Linked DNA regions of Saccharomyces cerevisiae S288C. The gene in region 3 interacts genetically with the main gene of each other region. Each region holds a gene or a part of one and is shown on either strand. Other genes may lie near its edges.

Region 1 (7,821 bases), on a different chromosome or scaffold from region 3:
CAGTAGTTATAGAATCGCAAAATTCGGACTACGAATTTGCGTTTGATAACTTGAGGAATAGATCAAAATCCCCCCCAGGTTTTGGAAGACTGGATTTTCCCTCCACTCAGGAAGGGAACGAGGACAAAAAGAAATCCCAGGAAATCATCAGAAGAAAGACAAAATATAGGTTTTTAATGGCAAGCAATAACAAGATCCCACCGTACGAGAGAGAATATGTATTCAAAAGAGAACAATTAAATCAAATTGTTGACGATGGATGTTTCTTCTGGAGTGATAAATTATTGCAGATATATGCTAGATGTTAAACGCCAGCGATCATCATTCTTTATTCATTACTTCAAATACATTTTTTTTGGTATGGTTGAAAGGGCTTTTTTCCTCGTTGGCATATGGGAAAAACTGAAAAATAAAAAAAGGCAATGAGATGAACAACAATGGAAAACAAAAAAGGGCGAATAAATAAGCAGCAGTTGGTAAAGCAGAAAGGGGAAGTTAACGGACGTTAAACAAATGACACCTAACTTACCAGGGTTTTATTATGATAGAGAACGTCGACGTTATTTTCGCATATCTGAAAATCAAAGCATTTCTACCACGGGAACGACGAACCAGTACAGAAAAGATAATATAAAGCGACAATGTGTTGAGGAAAATTACGATAAAAAATTTTCTATGATTAAAAAAAAACGTCAGCAAACATTACAAAAGTACAAGCTTAGTCTTCTGAATCCGTTGGAAAGGGCTTTTCGCCCTTTATCATATGAAAAGTACATGATTGGTTTAAATATGCAGTATGCATCGCATTCTCTCACTGAAGGTCATCACTCACATAGTTCTGCTAACGTAAAATCACTCAATTTTCCACACAGGATACAGATAGGAGTATTAGCAAATTGTATTTTATTGGTAACTCAAGAAGGATGTTTTCATAGTAAATTAGTATTTGCAACAAACAAGGGCTATGTCGCAGGATTTTCATCCCTGGATAATTTTTCTGAAGAAAATTTCTTTACGGGGTTTTCCATGGCTGAATTAAATCCTATGTTGAAATATAAGTCCGAGCCAACTGATGTGTTCAAAACAATGAAACTTGAGAGAACAGTTGCCATCAAGGAAGGGCCGAGCCATTATTTTTATCACAACGTTAATACCAGATCTAACGTGCATACTTTTGCCATCTTTTTACAAGACTTTTCTTCCTTAAAACTGCTCAAAATTCGTCAGGTCAAACTCAAAGAAAATTGCCAAGTCCATGATTCTCTTGTTGTTGGAGACACGTTGATTATTACCGTAAATTATCGTTGTCATTTTTATGATTTGATTCCAGAAACCTTTCCAAATCCCTATATCTTTTCTCCTGCCAAAAGCTCAAGAAAACACAAAAGTAGGAGTGACATTACTTCCCTATCATTTTGTCTACAAGAAGATGCTTTATCACCTTTAAAAAAAACGAACACCGGTGTGTTTTATTTAGGTTACAGAAATGGTGATTCAATGGCAATAGTCTTCACTAATATTACAAACATGACATTACAGTACTCCAAGACCAACGGTATGACATCAGAAAGTCGAAATCAACCTATCAGAAATTCCCTAAAATCTGTTGTTTCCATAAAAGCATTGAATAATAAAGGCCTAATACTTATATCTGGAATGGCAGACAAAGAGAATGTGCAACAACTGGTTATAGCAGATACGTTCCTGGAGGACATTCTGACCGAAATCCCGGTTGTATCTTTTAAAACTAAGTTCTTAAACGTGACTAAGGATACAGAAATACTCGAGATATCGGATGACGGGCGCTACTTCATTTATGGTTCAACTAGCGCTAGGGACGGAAAGGGTGATTTTGAAGTATTTTGTACCACTTTATCTGGAAATCTTGACTACGAAAAATCCGAAGGTGGAAATATCACCCTCTATCCAATAGGAGGTATGAAGAACTACTGTAGGTTAGAAAACTTCCAGTTTGAATCTATCCACCTACATTCGGCTTTCATACCCCCAAGGTACGTAAATCCGTTTGATGCTGTGGAACCTCTAGGTGAAGAGAGCAGTACTTCACCTTACGATATACCTGAAGAAGCACTTTCTCAAAAAATATGCATCTTAATTCGGAGAGAAGATGATCCCTACAATGGGGCCAATATCTTCATAACATCTGCTTTGACCTAGTTTAGCCCACCGAGATTTTTGCTTTATAAATATTTTAGCATACTTTGCATTCATATACATATTCATATGTATAAATATTCTTTAAATTTTAACGCCGACTTCGAACTAATTAGCAGTCAAAACCCAAATGTAATGACCTTATGGTGTTATAGCATAATTCTTCTTGGTGTACAATTCCATTCTGAATAGTTCAACGATTTTAGATATAGTTAGATATGATATTATAATAAAATATACAAATATGTATCATTGTTAGTACAAGTTAAACCTAAATATAATAAAGCCAACCAAGACAGGAACCAGTAGAAAAATTTATACAAATGACAAAGAAAAACAAACGGTATTTTCCTATTTATTAAAAATGCTTGAGCGAATGGATATTTTAACACATTAGTGTCCTAAAGGACAATTGGATTTGAAAATAAAATGACAGTAATAGACAAAAAGAAAACTGAATGAATGAATGGACGTATGGATTGCTTAATGAATGAATGAATTAAATAATAGTTGGGCGTAAGTTCAGAAGATGAGGAATTTAAAACAAAAATAATCGTTGACAAAAAACGATTCAAAAAAAAATTAGATCATTTTGGTAGGGAGCAATGCTAACCCTGCAAAGGCAGTGGGAGGATTTTGGATACGTGTTCGGAAACAGAATACAAAATATAAAGATGGCAATAGTTTGCTTTACCATTTTTTTCCGGCTCAAATTTTGGGACTTTAGTAGGACGTCATTGCTTAGTTGAATTTTTTATTTTTTATTTTTTATTTTTCTTTTGTCTTTGATTTCTGCGTAAAATATTTGTACAGTAAGAAGGAAAGAAAAAGAAAGAAAAAAAAGTATTATGGCAAAGTGAATTGAAGTTCATCAGATGTTCTAGCGGTATTCATGGCAGGCATATTGGAAATACTAGCGTTGCGGCTCATATTAACTTGATTATATGGGCCTTGACCAATATGCTGCGACTTCATTGACAAACTTGAATCCCAGTTTGCACCTTCCGTTTGATATTGCATACGAGGCACAAAAGATTCATTGAAGTTTTGACTATTTGCATTAGAGTATGGCGAGAAGTGATTAGCATTAATTTTGTCGGTTTCATTCATCATAAATCCAGGCTGCTTAAATCCCCTTGAAACATTAGGATTCACATTGGTAATGTTAGATGATGAGAACGAATGGATTGGTGCAGCAGAATTAGGATGTGCCATTAAATTTGCAAACTGGCGGTTGTCGAAGTTTTGTAACGAGTTATGGCTTACCAATGGTGGGTTAGTTTGAGAATTGAAAGAAGGTGCTCCCATCGAGGGATATGCGTTTTGGTTGAAGTTCATAATTTGTTGCGGAGAGTGAATTTTCTGATCTTGTGCATATTGGTTTGAGAAATTATTGGTTACAGAGCTGTTACTTCTTCTATGGTAAGCATTAGCTGGTAAAGAAAAATGACGGGTATGACTCTTTTGATTATTATTGTTATTATTATTGTGAGCATGGTTATGATTATGATTATGATTATGATTATGACTATTTTTGTTATGGGGGTTCTTATTTTCGTTGTTAATCGTTTGAAGATTGTTATGACTCATTGCAGTGACTTGAGGAGATATGTCAGTGAATGGTATACCTGTGGCTTCTGCATAAGCTTTAACTTTCAACTTAATTTTCTTTGCATAGGATGTAGTTTTAATACTTGGAAGTAATTCTTTTGTAAGGACAATCAAGTTACCAATTTTCAATGAAAAATCGTTACAAAAGTTACCGTAATTCAATGTACTAGAGCTGTTTTGCCCAATTGCGTTACTATTTTTGTTGTAAGCAAGCAGAGGAGAATAATTCTTAACGTCTAATAGCGTTTGTAACGCATAATTACCAAAATTATCCCTGATTAGCACATTTAAATTGACTGTGAATATATCAATGGTAGTCAAAAGAATGTTCATAGAAGCATTAATCACGTCATCAGAAGCAACTGCAGTCCTTTGGGAGGCACCCCCATTGTTATTAACAATAAATCCAGTAATGATTCTAAATAATTTTTTAATGAATTTTTCCACAACATTTGAGGAGAACTTCAAACAAGATAGTTGACATAATTCATTGGATAAACGGTTAAATAACTCAGCCAATAAGTAAAAGTCCAATTCTTTGATATCTAACAGAAATTGGATGATATAATTACCGAACTGATCGTTGATTAATCCAGGAAGGAACTGCACAATTTTCACAGAAATTTTGAAAATTTGTTGTAGAGTACAAACGCTTAGTAATTTTTGTAGTACGCAACAACCATGTTTATGGGTAGAAATGGTAATGATATTATTTTGTTCTACAATAGCATCTATGATGAAACCAAATTTTGATGGCGAGAATTTGAAAATACACTTTTGAATCACATGGTTACCATTAAGATCGTTTATCAAAGTAACCACTTGCTCAATCGAAGTAAATTCTTGGGAAAATCCCTTAATAATGAGATCGATTTGAACTTCGTTATCGACAGTGTCTATAATTTTCTGTAAGGAACGAGTTCCGTACTGATTGATTGATATTTGGAAAACATTTGGATATATTGTTTGTATTAATAATGTCTTTTGCTCGGCAGTTAAATAATCGCATAGTTTTTGAACCAAATAGTTACCGAACGGATCCAAAATAAGGTCCAAGAAAAATGGCTTAATTTGTTCATACATCAAGTCTCTCACCATATTGGATTCACTGGGGGTTTCTAATTTTTTTTGAAGAAAACGGCAGCCAAACTGGTCAGTGGCAAGTTTGATATAATCCAGATCTCTAAGGGGTAGTGCGCTGATTTCGACCATAGATGAAGACGTTGAGCTACTCAAACCAAATGACGAATTATCCACTCCACATTTGGAAGCAGCATTATTACTATTGCTAAAATTTCTGAGAGATGCAGCAGGAGTCACTGAAGAGGATGGTGTTTCCATAATTAAACTGGAGGTATTGACACCAGAGTTCGAAGGAGCAACAACCGTGAAATCGTGGCTTGATTTTCTCCTGGGACCATCCATTTCCAGATCAAACTCATTGATTAATGGTAGAATGGCTGGAGGATTTGCCATTGAGGCTGAAAGCCCAGTGGAGTTGCTAGCAGCATTAGGATTCGGGGAAAAAGAGTTAGCAGAATTCGATGTTGATGTATTATTCATCAAAGCCAAGGGAGATTGTGTCGATGATATGAACTGATTAAAACCAGAGAGATCAAGCGAATGAGCCTTTTGATGGTTTCTTTTGTTATTCATCTGGCCCAAAGGCGGAGGGGTCACGGGCTCCAAGAGTGATTGGACGGAGTTAATAGATAGTTGAGGCTGATGATTGTAAGACATTAAGGAGTTATTTGATGTAGACGTAGTTAAAATCGATGCTGAGTCGGCAGATGGAAATGGTTCGTTATTGATCTGATTGAATAAAAGAATGTTGTGTTAGTAAAGTGAAACCACAAAAATAAGGCGTGTGCAGAGCCGATTTTGGAGTATAAGCCTAGGATCAATTTCGATAACTGAGAAAGAGAACAATCACAACCATGTACAGTGTCCAGGTGGCCTGAGATGCGTGAGAATCAAGAGTAAATCTATCTATAAAGTTCGACTTCAATGGCGACAGAGGATGGCAAAAAAAGAGGACAGGAAAAGAGGAAGACAAAACACAAAATTTATGCTTGATTTTAGAATGAAACCTATAACCATAAAGAGTAAAATCCTTATAACTCTCAACGAATCTGCATAAATTTTTCATAGATCTTCGAATCTTTTCTTTTTTTTTTTTTTTTTGCTCATTTTTGCCTGAGGCGCCTCTTTCCCGAAGCCCTTCTTTCGAGAAAATCCTTATAGGCATATTCGAGAAATAAGGTAGGGTCAAGTATCAGAAATTCCATACGACATAAACGGAGATTGTTAGACCGCTAAAAAAGGCGTGTCGATAGGCTGATCCCACTGAAGCTGGTTTTTGGTTATTATGCTATTTGTTGTTAGAAGATCCCGTTAAAGCTTATGCTCCATTGGCGAAGAAAAATATTGGGAATTAAGAGATAATACATACCATAAGAGAAACTGGAAAAATCGTAATTGATTTATAAATTTGCGTAGAATTCGCTTTACTATGTGTTGGAGAGGAGTTGAGGAGGTTTTTTTTTTTTTTTTTTTGGTTTTTTAGCTTTTATCTTAAGGAATAGTAAAAGTGGCGGTTGTAGTAGCAGGCTTTTGCTGATCCGTAGTCCAAATCTAGTAATTTCAAGGCGCTTGACTTCTTGATGTTATTACCTTTCTTTTATTACTTAACTTGCCAATCAATGATGTGTCAATGATCTTCTCGGGGCTAGCAGATCTGTTCTTTTTTACCTGTTCTCTTTTTGTGTGAAAAGATAAAGTAAATTATGAAATAGGCTGATCTTGATGTTGACTCAACAGTACCCAAGGTTTTGAAATGTGAATTGTGTTCAGTATATTCAATGTTTCAGATATATATTGAAAGGAAACCACCTATTATGCTTTTTAGGCCTCTATGTAAGAAAATCTATACGTTTAACACAGATGCGAACCAGGAAAGAAGAAGAGTTCTTGTAGGCCACGTTTAAGAATGGCAAGAGAGAAAAAAAGAATGATCACAAGAAAACTGATTTCAGAATTGTAATATCGGACGGCAATACTAGTGTAATCTGAACCACAAGGTTAGTCTTAGCTGGGTAAAACACCTGGCGAAAGAAGAAAAAAAATAAGGAATCTGGATGATTATAAACTTTTTTAAATTACCCTTCTTTTATACATGAAAAGGGCATACAGCATACATAAACGGTAAAGAAAAAGAGGCAATCGTCAGTATTAATTGGCTCTAAGCTAGTCCAGGAAATAACCGCGTATAAATCCAAACCGTACTTCAGAACATTCAGATCTTTCTAGCTACTTGAAAGCGCGTACCATTTCCCCAACCTTAATATGTATATTTTATCACTCACTATGCAGTACTAGGCCGCTTCTTTCTATTGCTTTTCAGATTGCCAGATGCAATATATCCCGCTTCGGAATTATTAAAAATTTAGGGGTTGGCCAGATGTTTAGAACCTCGCTTTCCAGTTAATTGCTTTAGGAAAAGAAAGGCCAATATTGTTGTCATTTTTGTATTTTTTGCGCGGTACTGACCTTTTACTGCGGCGTTTCGCGTTTTTTTGGCATTTCGCGTTTCAGTGCGGCCCCCCCTCCCCAAAAAAATGGCGTATATTTTTAGTTAGTTTCTTCATCGTTCGATGCCTAAGCCGAGAATTTCAGAAGGCTTCTAAGGGCCAGAGTAAAGAGATCCATTGAGCCCCCACCCAGTTGGCAGCGGATGCCGAAGGGCGGAAGGAAGGGGCGTGTATAGGCTTCTTTACGAGAGCAAAAGACATTACAACGTACAAGGGACATTCCGTTCCCTTGTACGTCATGTTAATGAGCAAGAAACCGCTCACCGGCAATGGTTGGTGGTAGTGGTAGTATGGACTCTTTGGGTGATGAAAAGTAATCAGAACATTCTGCAATTTCTTTACATTTCCAATACTTGCTCCATTTAATCCTTTCCTTAGGTGGCGATAGCCCACGCGAAAGACGACCTAGGGTCAGGAGATTATCAATGCACTTGAGGCTTTAACT
Region 2 (5,596 bases), on a different chromosome or scaffold from region 3:
ATGACAAGATTTTCAAATCCGTTATTGATGCTTCTGATGTCATCCTATATGTTTTGGATGCCAGAGATCCAGAGAGTACAAGATCAAGAAAGGTGGAAGAAGCCGTCTTACAAAGTCAGGGTAAAAGGCTGATTTTAATACTGAACAAAGTTGATTTAATTCCCCCACATGTATTGGAACAATGGTTAAATTACTTAAAGTCTAGTTTTCCTACAATCCCATTAAGAGCTTCTTCTGGTGCAGTCAACGGAACTTCTTTCAACAGAAAGCTAAGCCAAACCACTACTGCAAGTGCACTGCTAGAGTCGCTGAAAACTTACTCTAATAACAGCAATTTGAAGAGATCTATTGTAGTGGGTGTTATCGGTTATCCAAATGTTGGTAAATCATCTGTTATCAACGCTCTTTTGGCGCGCCGTGGAGGTCAATCAAAGGCTTGCCCAGTCGGTAATGAAGCAGGTGTTACTACCTCTCTGAGAGAGATCAAAATCGACAACAAGTTGAAGATTCTAGATTCTCCTGGTATATGTTTCCCAAGCGAAAATAAGAAAAGATCGAAAGTTGAACATGAAGCTGAATTAGCTCTTCTAAATGCTCTACCGGCAAAACACATTGTTGATCCGTATCCAGCTGTCTTAATGTTGGTAAAGAGACTAGCTAAATCAGATGAAATGACAGAGAGCTTTAAAAAGCTGTATGAAATTCCTCCTATTCCTGCTAATGATGCAGATACGTTTACAAAACATTTCTTAATTCACGTCGCTCGTAAAAGAGGTAGATTAGGGAAAGGCGGTATTCCAAATCTTGCCAGTGCTGGTCTTTCGGTACTTAATGACTGGAGGGATGGTAAAATTCTTGGTTGGGTTTTACCAAATACATCGGCAGCTGCATCTCAACAAGATAAACAAAATCTAAGTACTATAAACACTGGCACTAAACAAGCTCCAATTGCAGCAAATGAATCCACCATTGTATCCGAGTGGTCCAAAGAATTTGATTTGGATGGATTATTTAGCTCTCTTGACAAGGCCATAGATGCTAGCAAAGATCAAGATACAATGATGGAATAAATAAGTCATATGTAAGGCTATTTTTATGTAAGGGGTGTTTCTTATTTTTTCTTTATCATCAAATAACATTACTGTAAATTATAGGTGTGCTTTTAAACTCATTACTATACATCTTATTTTTTTTAGTTTTACTGCCTTTTTGCTCTTTGGACAAAGAAATCATTAAAAAGTTCCAACTTTTATTATGTTTCATATATAAGATATACAAAATATAAAATGCAAAACGAATTTCAGAGATAGCATGACTTATGAAATTGGGGACAGACTCAAGATTGGTGGATATTTTTGCACCATCAAATTCATAGGTGTTATTAAGCCGTGGCCTTCGGTAAAAGCTTATGGGGTGGAATGGGACGATCACAGCCGGGGAAAACATTCTGGAACAATAGATGACATACACTATTTTGACGTTCAAATTCCTAATTCAGGATCATTTTTGAAGGAGTCTAAGATTAAATCTCCAGGTGTACGCAGAATTACGTTTTACGAAGCATTGTCAGAAAAGTATGGAGGCTCGAGTAATAACATTAATGACCTATCTATAGGTAACAAAAGGGTTGAGGGTTTGGGATTCGATGAACTAAATGCGAGAAATAAGAATTATAAGAAGTTAAGAAAAATAGCTTTGCGAGATTCCGATGTCGCTATATTGTTTCAAAATCAAGATGAGTTAAACCGTGTAATACAAAATTGTGTGAACGTCAAGGACCTTGATTTATCGCTTAATCTATTCACGAATATCAACTCTTTATGTGAGTTCATAGAACCTTTGAAGAACTTGGAGAGCCTTAATATATCTCAAAATAAACTTTTAAGCGGTTGGGACAACTTGAAAGAATATGACCTATCACACATCAAAACTTTACGTCTGTCTTCCTGTGGTTTAAGTTATAAACATATTGGTAAGCTGCTCAAAAGCTTCAGGACACTGAAAATGTTGGATTTAAGCTATAACAACTTGACCAGTGCGGGAATCCAAAATTTTGAGAATGAAATACCGTGTACTTTGGAGGAACTGAATATTAGCGGAAATAATCTTATATCGTTTCCATTGTTTCCAAAAAATTTGACATTGAAAGGTTTAAATGTCTCCAATAATCAAATTTCTAGAGCACCAAGTATTGCTATTTATTCTGTTGAATCCTTGGATATAACAGATAACAAATTTAAGGAAAGAAGTTTGATAGATGATTTGAATAAGACATTTCCCTCTTTGAAAAATATCCATCTGAGTGGCAACGAATTCAACTACAACGGAAATTATATTAACGTCGAAGAACAGGCTACTTTTTATGAAGTACTGGCTAGGTTTGATCGTGTGATGGTATTGAATGGATCAATATGTGATGTAAAAACAAGAAGAGAGGCTGAGATGTTTTTTGTTTCCAAGGTAATGAATAACGAATTGAGCTATGACACCAATCTGCCGCGTTGGTCAAGCCTCATAAAGTCGTATGAAATCGATATGAGTAAGCTAAGTTTCAACAATGAAAGAGAAACACGGCAATCTCTTGTCTTAAAAATAAAGATAAGAGCTGGCAAGAAGCCGAGTAGTGATTTAGATTATTGGGTCCTTCCCAGTTTTACAGTAAGGTACGTTAAGAGTGTAATATGTCGAAAGCTAAACTTTGACATACTGAATGTTAAGTTATTTCATGAAAATTCTGAAGGGATGATAAACGAAATAAAGTATAATTTTCGCCCCATTTCAGATTTTAATGTTGTGAACGGAGATATTATTCATGTTTCGTCTCCAGTAAATAACAAGAGCATTCAGAAGGTTAACAGCCCATCGTAATCACAGTATATAGTTAATCTTGGCTAGTTGCATATTTAAAAATCAGGAAACAGCCTTTTAGATTGTAAGCGGATGTTATTCTAATTTTTTCTTAGTTTCTTTATTTTATTATGTAGCAGATGGATAGTAATATAGTGTTGACGGCTCCGTTTGTTACTCAACGCTGAAGTTCCATAAGGGGTCGCCCAAATGGTGAATCAATTCTATGGAATGACCTTTGTTCACTGATTTAATTTCTTCAGTACCCATCATCAATTCACCAATAGCCAATGCATTCTCTTTATTTTCGGCATTGATGACTACAATCGTACCTTTCTCGTAACCAGGAGCAGGTGGTAAGTCGGCACCCGCAGAAGTTAGGCCAGGGCACATGATATTAGCACCTGAGAGAACGAATTTAATAGCACCTCTATCAACCTGAACAGTGGGATAAGCCTCTGGAAATTTGTGTACTAATTTCAGGCTTGGAATCAGTTCATCGAATTTTTGAAAAAAAAGAACTTCACCATCGACGGAATACAATTGGATCTTATCTTCACATTTAATCAACTCGATTTGACTCTTCTTAGGAATTAATTCATCAATAACATCTTCTATTTTGGGGTACTGCTTGACCAATTTGGCCTTTAACGTTCTTTGAATTGAAGATTTGACCTTTGAACGTGAATGGACATCTTCTCTTGTGAATCTATCGATGATGATGTTAGTAATTGCTTACTGAGTCAAAAGTGTACACTAACCCCTGGTAAAACCAGTGAATTACGCAATATTCATTCTCATGTTAGACATACTTCTTAAACATTTCCTCTCTGCTGTTTTAGTTTACCGTCTTTGTCTTTTATATGGTTTTACATAAGGTTATAGCAAAATCAAGTTTTTTCACACAATAATTTTTCAGATAATTAAATTTTTCGTCATTTTTACACCTACAAATACAAAGCATAAGAGTAAGGTAACTATGAATTTAGTGGAAAATGACCATAATGATAATTATCAATAGATAAAATTATGGTTTTTGAGGTGAAGTTGAGGTCTCGTTTATAGACGGCACTGTCAGGTAATTGGTCAACTCTCCTATACAAAGTTTACTGTATCGGGTGAAAAGAAAGACACACAAGAAGGAGAACACTCATGCCTACCATTTTAGTTGCCATTTCTGTATTACTTACAATTCCAGCTTCTATAACGTGAACTCACATTAGAGAATTCGGTGAAAAAGAAAAGAAAAATATGGTTGGGCCCTCAATTGAATGTTTCAGTCCGGTATCCCTAACCTATTTTTTGATATTACTTCCAAAGAAAAATAAACAGTCCCTTTGAAAGAATGAATATCGGTAATGAAAAAAGGTATTCCAAAAATTCCCTACATAGTCTTGAAGTATTCAAAAGCGAACACCGAATTGACCATGAGGAGACGGTCTGGTTTATAATTAAATTTCAACCAGCAAAAACACAATCTCGGACGAATCCTCACTGATATGCGTATTTCCCGTGCATAAGGATGGAGTATTAAGGAAGGAAGTGAAAGAAAAGAAAATGCATTAAACGTAAGTAACAATAGTAATTGGACAATGAAGCTAACTAATATTCTGTTCCTTTTATATTCAGAAAAAAAAATTCGAAAACTAATATATCATTTTACACGATATTTGAAATTGAAATTTATCAAAATATTTACTTAATTAGTCTAAATATGTAATATGAAGCGACAATGCAGAGGTTACTTAGGCATTCTTGTATTCCTCGAACGCACTTATGATATCGTTCTTCGTGAAGCGTATGTTTGTCCCTCTATAGTGTTTATCAATTACAGTGTATAGTTTCAAGTATAGTGAGACGGTTTGACCTTGAATGCACGACCACAACTTATCGCATAGGACGTTGTTTATGGCATTTTCTTGGTGGTAACCGAAGTCATTTACCATATGAGTGTGCAGCCTTTTTACTAGAGTTTCAATTTCATGGGAAGTGTATGCTAAAAGAATGTTCTCTAGGTTCTGCCTGCTATATGCGGCCCATCTTGAAGGATTGGTCATGTTCACATTGTTGGTATTTTCAATGATGTTGCTCACACCATAAACAAAGGCTGTTAGTTTAGGCATAGTATCGCGGAGTAGAAAGGAAGCATAAGATTCTTTTTCCACATCGAAAACTTTCTTAACGTTTTGCAATGACGTATCAAATATACCATCCTTATTGAAGTTTAACATGGAAAGCATTTCAGTTAGCCAGTTACTGTTCACTAGGAGAGAAATAGTTTCCATATAGTCATTATTTAAAGCAGCAGTATCTGAAAGGTTTGGATTAATGCTTGAATTAACTTCTTTGTGAGTTATCGATCGTGTGGCAGCTATGCTTAGCTTCCTGAAGCTCGAATTCATTAATTCGATGGACTCGTAGCCTTCATCGGTATCTTTAATATCCATAGACCTCTTAGCAAATTGGAACAAATCTTCTGAATTCTTCAAGCCTACTGGTAAATCAAGTATACCTGGAAGAATTTCTCCATTGGTGGTTGCGTTAGAAATTCTTTCGAAGTGCAAAACCTGCTCTTCTACATTATCAGACCACACTTGTTTTATTTGTGTGTACATTCTAGTCACTGCAGACAATAAAAATTCATGGTTGGATGATTCTAAGCTTTTAATTTCATTCTCCAAGTAAAAAGTTAAGGCTGGGGCTACCGTTGGTTCGGCTTTCACTAATTCTACAAAATATGAGGACAGCC
Region 3 (7,780 bases):
TGCAAACTTTTAATAAATCTGGATTAGTCATTTTGTAGCCGTGACACAATGGGGCAAAGGCTTCGACGACGAGACCTTTAGATTTACAGTAATCTGCTAATTCTTGTCTCATAATCCAAGGTGATATCTCGATTTGGTTGACCACTGGCTTGTGCTTCAGTTCTGGCCAGTTCAAAAGTTCATCAATGTGCTTTTTCCCATAGTTGGAAACCCCTATAGACTTAACCAATCCTTCATCAACCGCTTCTTGCATGGCGCGCCAAGTTTCCAACCTTAATTTAGAACCTTCCAGTGGCGAATGAATCAAAAGAAGATCGATGTATTGCAAGCCCGAGACTTCATTCAAACATTGCCGAATGGCAGCTTTAGCTCTTTTATATCCGTTTTGCGAATTCCATAATTTAGTAGTGTAGAAGATTTCCTCACGTTTATGGTTCCCTGGATCTTCGTTCAACCATTTAATGATACCATCGCCAACTTCCTTCTCATTACCATAAAGAACAGCAGTATCGAAATGACGGTAGCCGCACTTGACACCTTCATACACAATTTCGGCTGTTTGCGATCTTGGAATATCGTAGGTTCCCAAAGCAATGCTTGGGATTTTGAAGCCGTTTGAAAGTTTGTAAAACTTAGGAACCATGTTGTTGAGGTGAATTTTTTTTCTTCCTTCGGGCTAGGTATGCTAAGTTAATTACTAAAGTAAGATCAGTTGCTTATGCTCTTATATATTGGAGGTTGCGACAAGGGATGAAAGAAAGAGACACCTCCCCTCATATCGACACGACGGAATATGTATGATAACTACTTCATTGTTCTTTTCAGCACATTATTACTATTTACGAAAAAAGGGAGTAGGGAAAAATGGCGCGCTTATGGAGCCTCAAATAAGGACAAAAAAGTCAAGTAATGAATATCAAATTGAAATGAGTATGCTTACATAGATTTATTTGGTTTGTTTTCATTTTGTTTTTGTTTCTTATGTTGCTGCTTTATTTTGTGTAGGTAATAAGGAAGAATAGGGCGATTAATAATTGATCTTCTAGCCTATTTCTATTTTTTCTTTATTTCATTTTGTAGTCCCATTGTTCATCATCTACTTTAATGGCTTTGGCTTTGGTGTGTCATTCTTCTTGAATATACCCAAATTTTCTAAATGCTCCCTTACATATTCATAAACGGTAAAGGTGACAGCCTGACCTGGAGCCACCCTCATCACTCTTGGGGTAATACCCTTGTACAAAGCTCTAAAACCTTCTTCTTTCAGTAGTTGAGCACCAATGGTTATGATTTTCTTCATACCGGACTGTTTTTCCAATGAGATGGACTTATCCTTTTGCAGCCTTGTCTTTATAGTATCCAATGGAGCGTTGGAAAACGGCCCAATAGCACCCGAAATCAAACCTATGCAAGAAGTTTCCCATGAAGGTAGGACATCCATCTGATGGTAATTCTGCAAAAACTCCTTCAGTTTAGAATAAACTGTGAAGTTAGCACCCTGATTAGTTGCTTGCCTTGCCGCAGTTAAGGAAACGCCTCTATATAAGGCAGAAACACCTTCTTCTTTGACAATAGTGTAGGCTGCATGAATGGCGTTGTTATATTTAGGACCAGCATTTGGCTCACTCGGAGTTAAATGCTGAGCTTGTAACCTAATCTTTACAACTTCCATCGGGTTCACGACAAGAACAGCTTCGGTGATACCAGCCCCAACACCAGCAACAAAAGTATTACCGGTAGACACAATTCCTGATTCCTTGTTAACCAATAAGGTTCTATAGAATTCATAAGACGAGAAACGGATTGCCATCTTAGGTATAATACCGATGACCACAGCACCTAGACCTTTATACAGAGCCAAGAAACCTTCTTTTTGATAAATGGTACGCCCAGTTTTAATAAATCCTGGGGGTTTAACATGTTCAATACCAGCTACCCGTCTGTATATTTGCATTCTCACCTTAATTGTATCTAAAGGATGACAACACAATGCTTCAAATAAACCTGCTGTGCCGCCAGCCATGAGATTGATGGCTGGATGGGAAGCCTTCTTTTTTTGAGACATTTTTCTTTCTTCTTCTTTGTTATGTTATCTTACGGCTAAAACTAATATAAACTTCTTTCTTGAATCAAGTATTCTTAGTTTTAGTAATAGGGAAGATGCCAAGTTTCTTTCAATGACTCAATTGATAATATCTTCCAAAATGCTTTGCACTTTACTTATGAAGCAGATAGAAAACAAAGGGGGAAACGCCAAGAACAAGAAGAACTACAACAAGAAAGTTAACAAAACGAGAACAAGTAGTAAGTGAACTATATATTTATACATAAGATATATGCAAAATGTGACATTACGGTTTGTAAAAGGTAGTAACTCCGTGGCGACAAGAATCTCAAAGGATTGGTTAAAAGATAGCACCTCGAGCAGTAGTACTACCGTATATCATCATTGCCTCCATCATCACACTTTATTATGACAATGAGGACTAATCATTAACACCGACCCATCAAATTTGGGCCCTTCGTCACAATTAAGGTCCGTTTGCGGTTTACCGGGACTAGGCTGGTACTGTCATACGATGTGGTATCTGGTAGACATGGGCGGTTAATAATTCATGGCTCATTCGCCAACGTCCATTTCTCCGGGCGGGCGCTACTAAAAAAATAATGCTCCATTCAACCGAGATGATTCTCTAGTCTCCCCTCGGGTTCATCGAAAAACGCCCCTCTTTTCCATTAAACCGAGGGTGCTGTCAAAATTTCTTACTAAATCACGTGACAAGAGGCGGACTGGAAATCAATCGCCTTTTGCTCTTACCTGCAAGTGAGTTTAAATATCCGCAATAATTATGCTAAAGTTTCTTTTTTACAGTTCGTTGATGTACTGATATGGTTTTATGTAAATTAACAAATACAAAACATAGTCGTTATGGAATAGATATACCTAGTGAAAGCCAAGAGAAAATGAATGAAAGAAGTTTAAGCTTCAACCATTTCTCTTAATCTTCTGATGGTAGATCTAACAGTAGCGGCAGCTGCAGTAGAAACAGTATAAGCACCACCGGCAACGGTCTTCTTACAACAGGAACAAGTCCAAATACCAGCTGCACCTCTCTTAACAGTCTTCTTACCACAGAAGGAACAGTCATATCTGGCATGTTGTTGAATTTCAAGCTTCTTAACTTGTCTTCTCAATGATGAACCATAACGGACACCGTATTTACCTGTGATACCGACCTTCTTTGTTCTCTTAGCCCTGCAAAAAAAAAAAATAAGATGGAAATATTTGTTAGTAAACTAAAAACTTGCCTTATAACTGATTCGATGTAGTCATATTGAGTTGTGGTGGACCTACAGTGAGATTGCCCCAAAAATGCGCTACCATCTATCCTGGCTTATCATTCTCCTCAACTGCGATATTTCGTGGTTTATCAACCCCAGCACTTTCTATTTAATTCAAATCTACCACGCATCTCCACTAACTCCAATATAAGAACATTTAGTCATCCAATTCCTCTATTATATGCATACATTTTTTTGTTTGATTATCTATGCTGTTTATAATATCGTATATAGTTAATGAATAACCCTACAACACGAAGGGCAGTAATATATTCTGATTCTCAGTTGAAATTTCAAATTTTTCAAGCTGGTCTTACTCGGCAGGTAGGAACTTCCCAGTGGGTCTGAGTTTTCTCTCCGGAAGGTATTTATCATTATGCACGACAAGTGCGATTCAATCGAAAGATTATAAATTTCGCGATGAACAACATCTGATAAAAAAAAAATTAAAAAACAATAATCTAAATGATATGTATGGGTTAAAAAGGATGTATGGATGGAGGGTTGGCATAAAAATGAAAGGCAGAAGATGGGCGGCTAAAAAGGTATAGAGATCGTACGTCACCGTCACAAAAATCACTCATAGAATGCACTATCATCCTTACAATACCATACCAGCCGCAAGAAAAAAAGAAAAAAAAATCAATTCATATCATATATTATCTATATCATGCTGTTCTTTCCGCCACGGCCCGTATGGTGTTGGAGTAATTTGATTAATGTATTCCCTCACGGAGGTTCAGTAGATATTCTCAATAAAAGAAGGGTGGGGGTGTATTTGCTGCAAGAATGCGGATGTCAAAAGAACCTCAAGAAGTCCACTAAATGGCAGTAAATGCCGCGCTTACATTTTTAGCGACTGCCGAAAACGTACGGCTAACTGCTGTACCTCAAAAGCATAAAATTGTGATGTTGATTAAAACAAGTAGGCGTTGCATATATAGACGTGGGTAGGAAAAAAGTGAGCGCCAACACTATATAAGAAACCGTTTCTGGATACACCCTCGTGAAGAAATAGGGTCCTGCATTGATATTTTCAAACTTATATAATTAATAATAATTAATAGCGCTTAGTTTAAAGAATTTGAACTATTTTTTGGCCAACTTGGAGAAAGAATGTGTACTTGATTATTGGCATTCCGCGTATTTACGCGGGGATAAAGAGAAAACAAAGGAGAAAAGGAATTTCCTCAATTCCGATGACTAGTACCTCCGAGCAAGCAATCATCGGCGAACAGATGTAAAAAGAGAGTTTTAAACACTGAGTTTTATTTATCAAGAACGTACCCGTACAGCTATCGTTTCAGGCAGATAACAAAAATGTGATTGAAATTAAAGTAGTTTTGTTTGGAATCATGATAATTAAATATTTCATTAATTTGAAGTTACTAAGTAATGAAGCTAGCCCGAGAAACGCAAATGCTCAGAGAGCCCGGCAGTAATTGTGTACACAGAACTATACAAGCCGCTGGATAAAGCTTATTCGTTGATGTCATCCGCTATTACCTCTCCTAATCATGGCTGCAGGAAATCTTTTCTCTCAACATCTTGTACCACTTTAAAATGCGGTAGCAAAGGACAAACGGTAAAACGTTACACTGCCACGGTGTTATAGCAGCCGCAAAGTGAGTAAGCATGTGATGGTACCTTCAATACTGCGTTGGAGAAAAAAAGTGCGTATCTTTGTTTACTTTTCGTCTTCGAGGGGAAGGATCAAAGGCGCATGCGTGCCCGCAGGAGGGGGCGCCAGGATTGGGGGTAGATACAACATCAAGGAAGCGTCATGGTGGCTTCTTGGGTCTTAAATACGCAGGGAATTAAAGTTTCATTTATGTGCCTTTACATGCACTCAAAAACCTTCTTAGTTACAGGAAAAGGTAAAGATACGATAAGAAAAGCCTTTGAACTGCCCATCCTGCATCCTAACACAGATCTAACTCACTATTCGGGTAAGGAAGTGTCATGCATGTCTGCAAAGGGACTAGAAGAAAGTTACATGATTACATAAGCAAAAAATCGGAATTACAGACACACCATTTTTTATCCTGCGGCCCCATTTCCGTCTTCGAGGGAAAGGATCAAAGGCGCTTAGCCCAATCTTGATGATTCACCGGGGAAGAAAGGAATTACAGAACCCCCAGCCACGTAACACAGCCAATTAGTTTTCTATATCGGGAAACGTGATTGATTGCGCAATTTTGGCTGCATCAGAATACATCGATGAGATCTAGAGCACCCTTTGATGGTTTAAGTCCGGTTTAAAGTTAGTAGATCAATGATTTCGTAGTGCATTTTAAAGGGAGCGCTTATCCATGGGTGATTGCGTTTACAACGTTTTGTGTGTACTCATAATAGCCAATCTAAAATTAAACAACAACAACAACGCACAATTAATATGTATCAGCCCCAATACCTTTTTCTCTTACTGTAATTTACTACTAAATTGGGGTCGGACGTTTTTGATCTTGTTCCTTGCCTGTTGTTTACCTTGTATATTACTTTTCCTCTTTTATGTATTTAAGGTAAATTAATTATCTTTTGATCTTAATATTTTTCTCAAAATGCTTCCCTTGTAGTTCGGTATTTTTGCTTCTTCAGATATTTAAACTACCGTATACCATAACTGTTTCGTGAAGTAGATACAAACATCGACTATCCTATTACGATTTATTTTACATTATCATATTATAAATCGACCAGTAGTATTGTTAAAGATTAAAAGCATAATATACTACTGTCATTAGTCACCTACAGAGAAACAAATTCCTACTGGCACCCATTACTGGTGAAAAAGGAAAAAAATAATAAAAGAAAAGCTTTTCTATTCCTCTCCCCACAAACAAAATGCAAGCGGATATGCATGGAAAACTTCACGCTGCCTTAGAAGATGGTTTCTTCCTCTTTCCTTTTGAACAGCAACAACAACCTAACATTTATTATGACACAACCACCGATCAAGAAGACCGTCCTTGTTTTTCTTTTGGATCTACAATTTCCCCTAGAAGTTGGCATTTTGAAAAGTCTGACAAAATTGCCTCATCTCAGCTGCAGAACTTGGTTCATACACAACCAATTCATTTAATTAATCCTCAAATATTGTTCAATGAAGAGTTTCTGAATTTGGAAAATATTGATTCTCAGCCTATTTCCAAGGAAACGAAAACTACGAAGGACTGCACAATGGCAACTGGTCCTGAAAGAGGAAAAAAGAGCTCTGAAAGTACCAGATCCTCTTCATTATCATCTCTTTTTTCTAATGATGAATCCGCATCTACGTTCCACTCATCATTCAATAACCATGATAACTTTCAAAAGAGCAACAGAAATGGAGATGATATCGATATTAGTGACACAATAAAATATGAAACTAATACAAATGCACAAAAAGATATCAAAATATTCCAAGAAAATTTTGAATTCAATGAATTCCCATACACACAAGACTTCTACCCATATACCACTAATTATACCTATTCAAAACCCACAAATATTCATGAATCAATAAATTCAAAAAACACGGATTCATACTCCCAATATCAAGATCAGTTTCCACCACATACTGATAACATACATTCCTTTAATAATCGTCACTATAGCAACCATAAAAGCACTAATTGTAATTACTATAATAATACCAGCAATAATAACAACGCCTCCGATAATGTATATGAGGCAGATCCATTTATAGATGAACCTCAGGTGCCCTCCTACTATTACCCATTAGAAATTGCCTTCGACGTTGAAAAATCACCACCGCCATCACTACAAAAATTAAATTCAAAAGAGTTAGAATTCCTAAAAAAGTTGAACTCCAAACTGTCAAGATATGCTGCGGCTTACTCCTTCAGCAGTTCTAATGATCAAGATTATTATGACAAGGTCAGGTTTCAAGAAATATCCTACAAGTTTAGTAAAACCTATTCTTAATTCTCGAAAAGTACTACAATCTTCCCCCTTCCCTCAAAATATATCCATTCACACTCATTTCTTTATTTCCATTGTCTCACTCAAATTGCTAAGAATTTGTGTATTTGCATATATATATATTATATATAGGTATATATATGTATTCAATGTCTCAAGCTCCATGACATAATACCGTAGCGTTATTAGCCTTATCGTATGTCGCGATGGGAAAGGAGATTCGTTTTAATCTTGAAAAACCTTCGTAGCGAATAATGCGACATAAATCTTGAGAGAGTACATCACCAAATTCACTTTGTTAAACCGCACCATCGTGCTTTGCATTCTTATTCCTTTTGCCTACACTAAAATTATTAGCATTTCTCTAAATGAGCTCCAGTGAAGACGAAGACGACAAGTTCTTGTATGGTTCCGACTCCGAATTAGCACTACCTTCATCTAAACGATCAAGAGATGATGAAGCAGACGCAGGTGCGTCCAGTAATCCTGATATAGTTAAAAGGCAAAAATTCGA

Evidence for each region. Genes that interact genetically often act in the same process or in processes that back each other up.
Region 1: of RPL43B (region 3) and MPT5, a mutation in one rescues a mutant of the other (synthetic rescue), as found in Saccharomyces cerevisiae (one study listed by BioGRID).
Region 2: mutations in RPL43B (region 3) and TMA20 together harm fitness more than expected from each alone (negative genetic interaction), as found in Saccharomyces cerevisiae (2 studies listed by BioGRID).

The regions. Positions count from the first base shown.
Region 1 is NC_001139.9:165,772-173,592, reverse strand, and holds MPT5 (Mpt5p), read right to left. Parts: upstream 6,242-7,821; coding exon 6,239-6,241; intron 5,599-6,238; coding exon 3,022-5,598; downstream 1-3,021. Other genes in the region: ssDNA endodeoxyribonuclease SAE2, read left to right, coding at 1-308; YGL176C (uncharacterized protein), read left to right, coding at 514-2,178. UniProt on the Saccharomyces cerevisiae protein: RNA-binding protein involved in post-transcriptional regulation. Negatively regulates expression of HO by binding to the 3'-UTR of HO mRNA. Predominantly binds to mRNAs encoding chromatin modifiers and spindle pole body components.
Region 2 is NC_001137.3:163,216-168,811, forward strand, and holds TMA20 (translation machinery-associated protein 20), read right to left. Parts: upstream 3,671-5,596; coding exon 3,660-3,670; intron 3,557-3,659; coding exon 3,022-3,556; downstream 1-3,021. Other genes in the region: RNA-binding GTPase NUG1, read left to right, coding at 1-1,070; PAC2 (Pac2p), read left to right, coding at 1,312-2,868; GTP-Rho binding exocyst subunit SEC3, read right to left, coding at 4,593-5,596. UniProt on the Saccharomyces cerevisiae protein: Involved in translation.
Region 3 is NC_001142.9:604,058-611,837, reverse strand, and holds RPL43B (60S ribosomal protein eL43 RPL43B), read right to left. Parts: upstream 3,534-7,780; coding exon 3,532-3,533; intron 3,257-3,531; coding exon 2,980-3,256; downstream 1-2,979. Other genes in the region: YJR096W (aldo-keto reductase superfamily protein), read right to left, coding at 1-643; SFC1 (Sfc1p), read right to left, coding at 1,097-2,065; transcription factor IME1, read left to right, coding at 6,187-7,269; cleavage polyadenylation factor subunit FIP1, read left to right, coding at 7,635-7,780.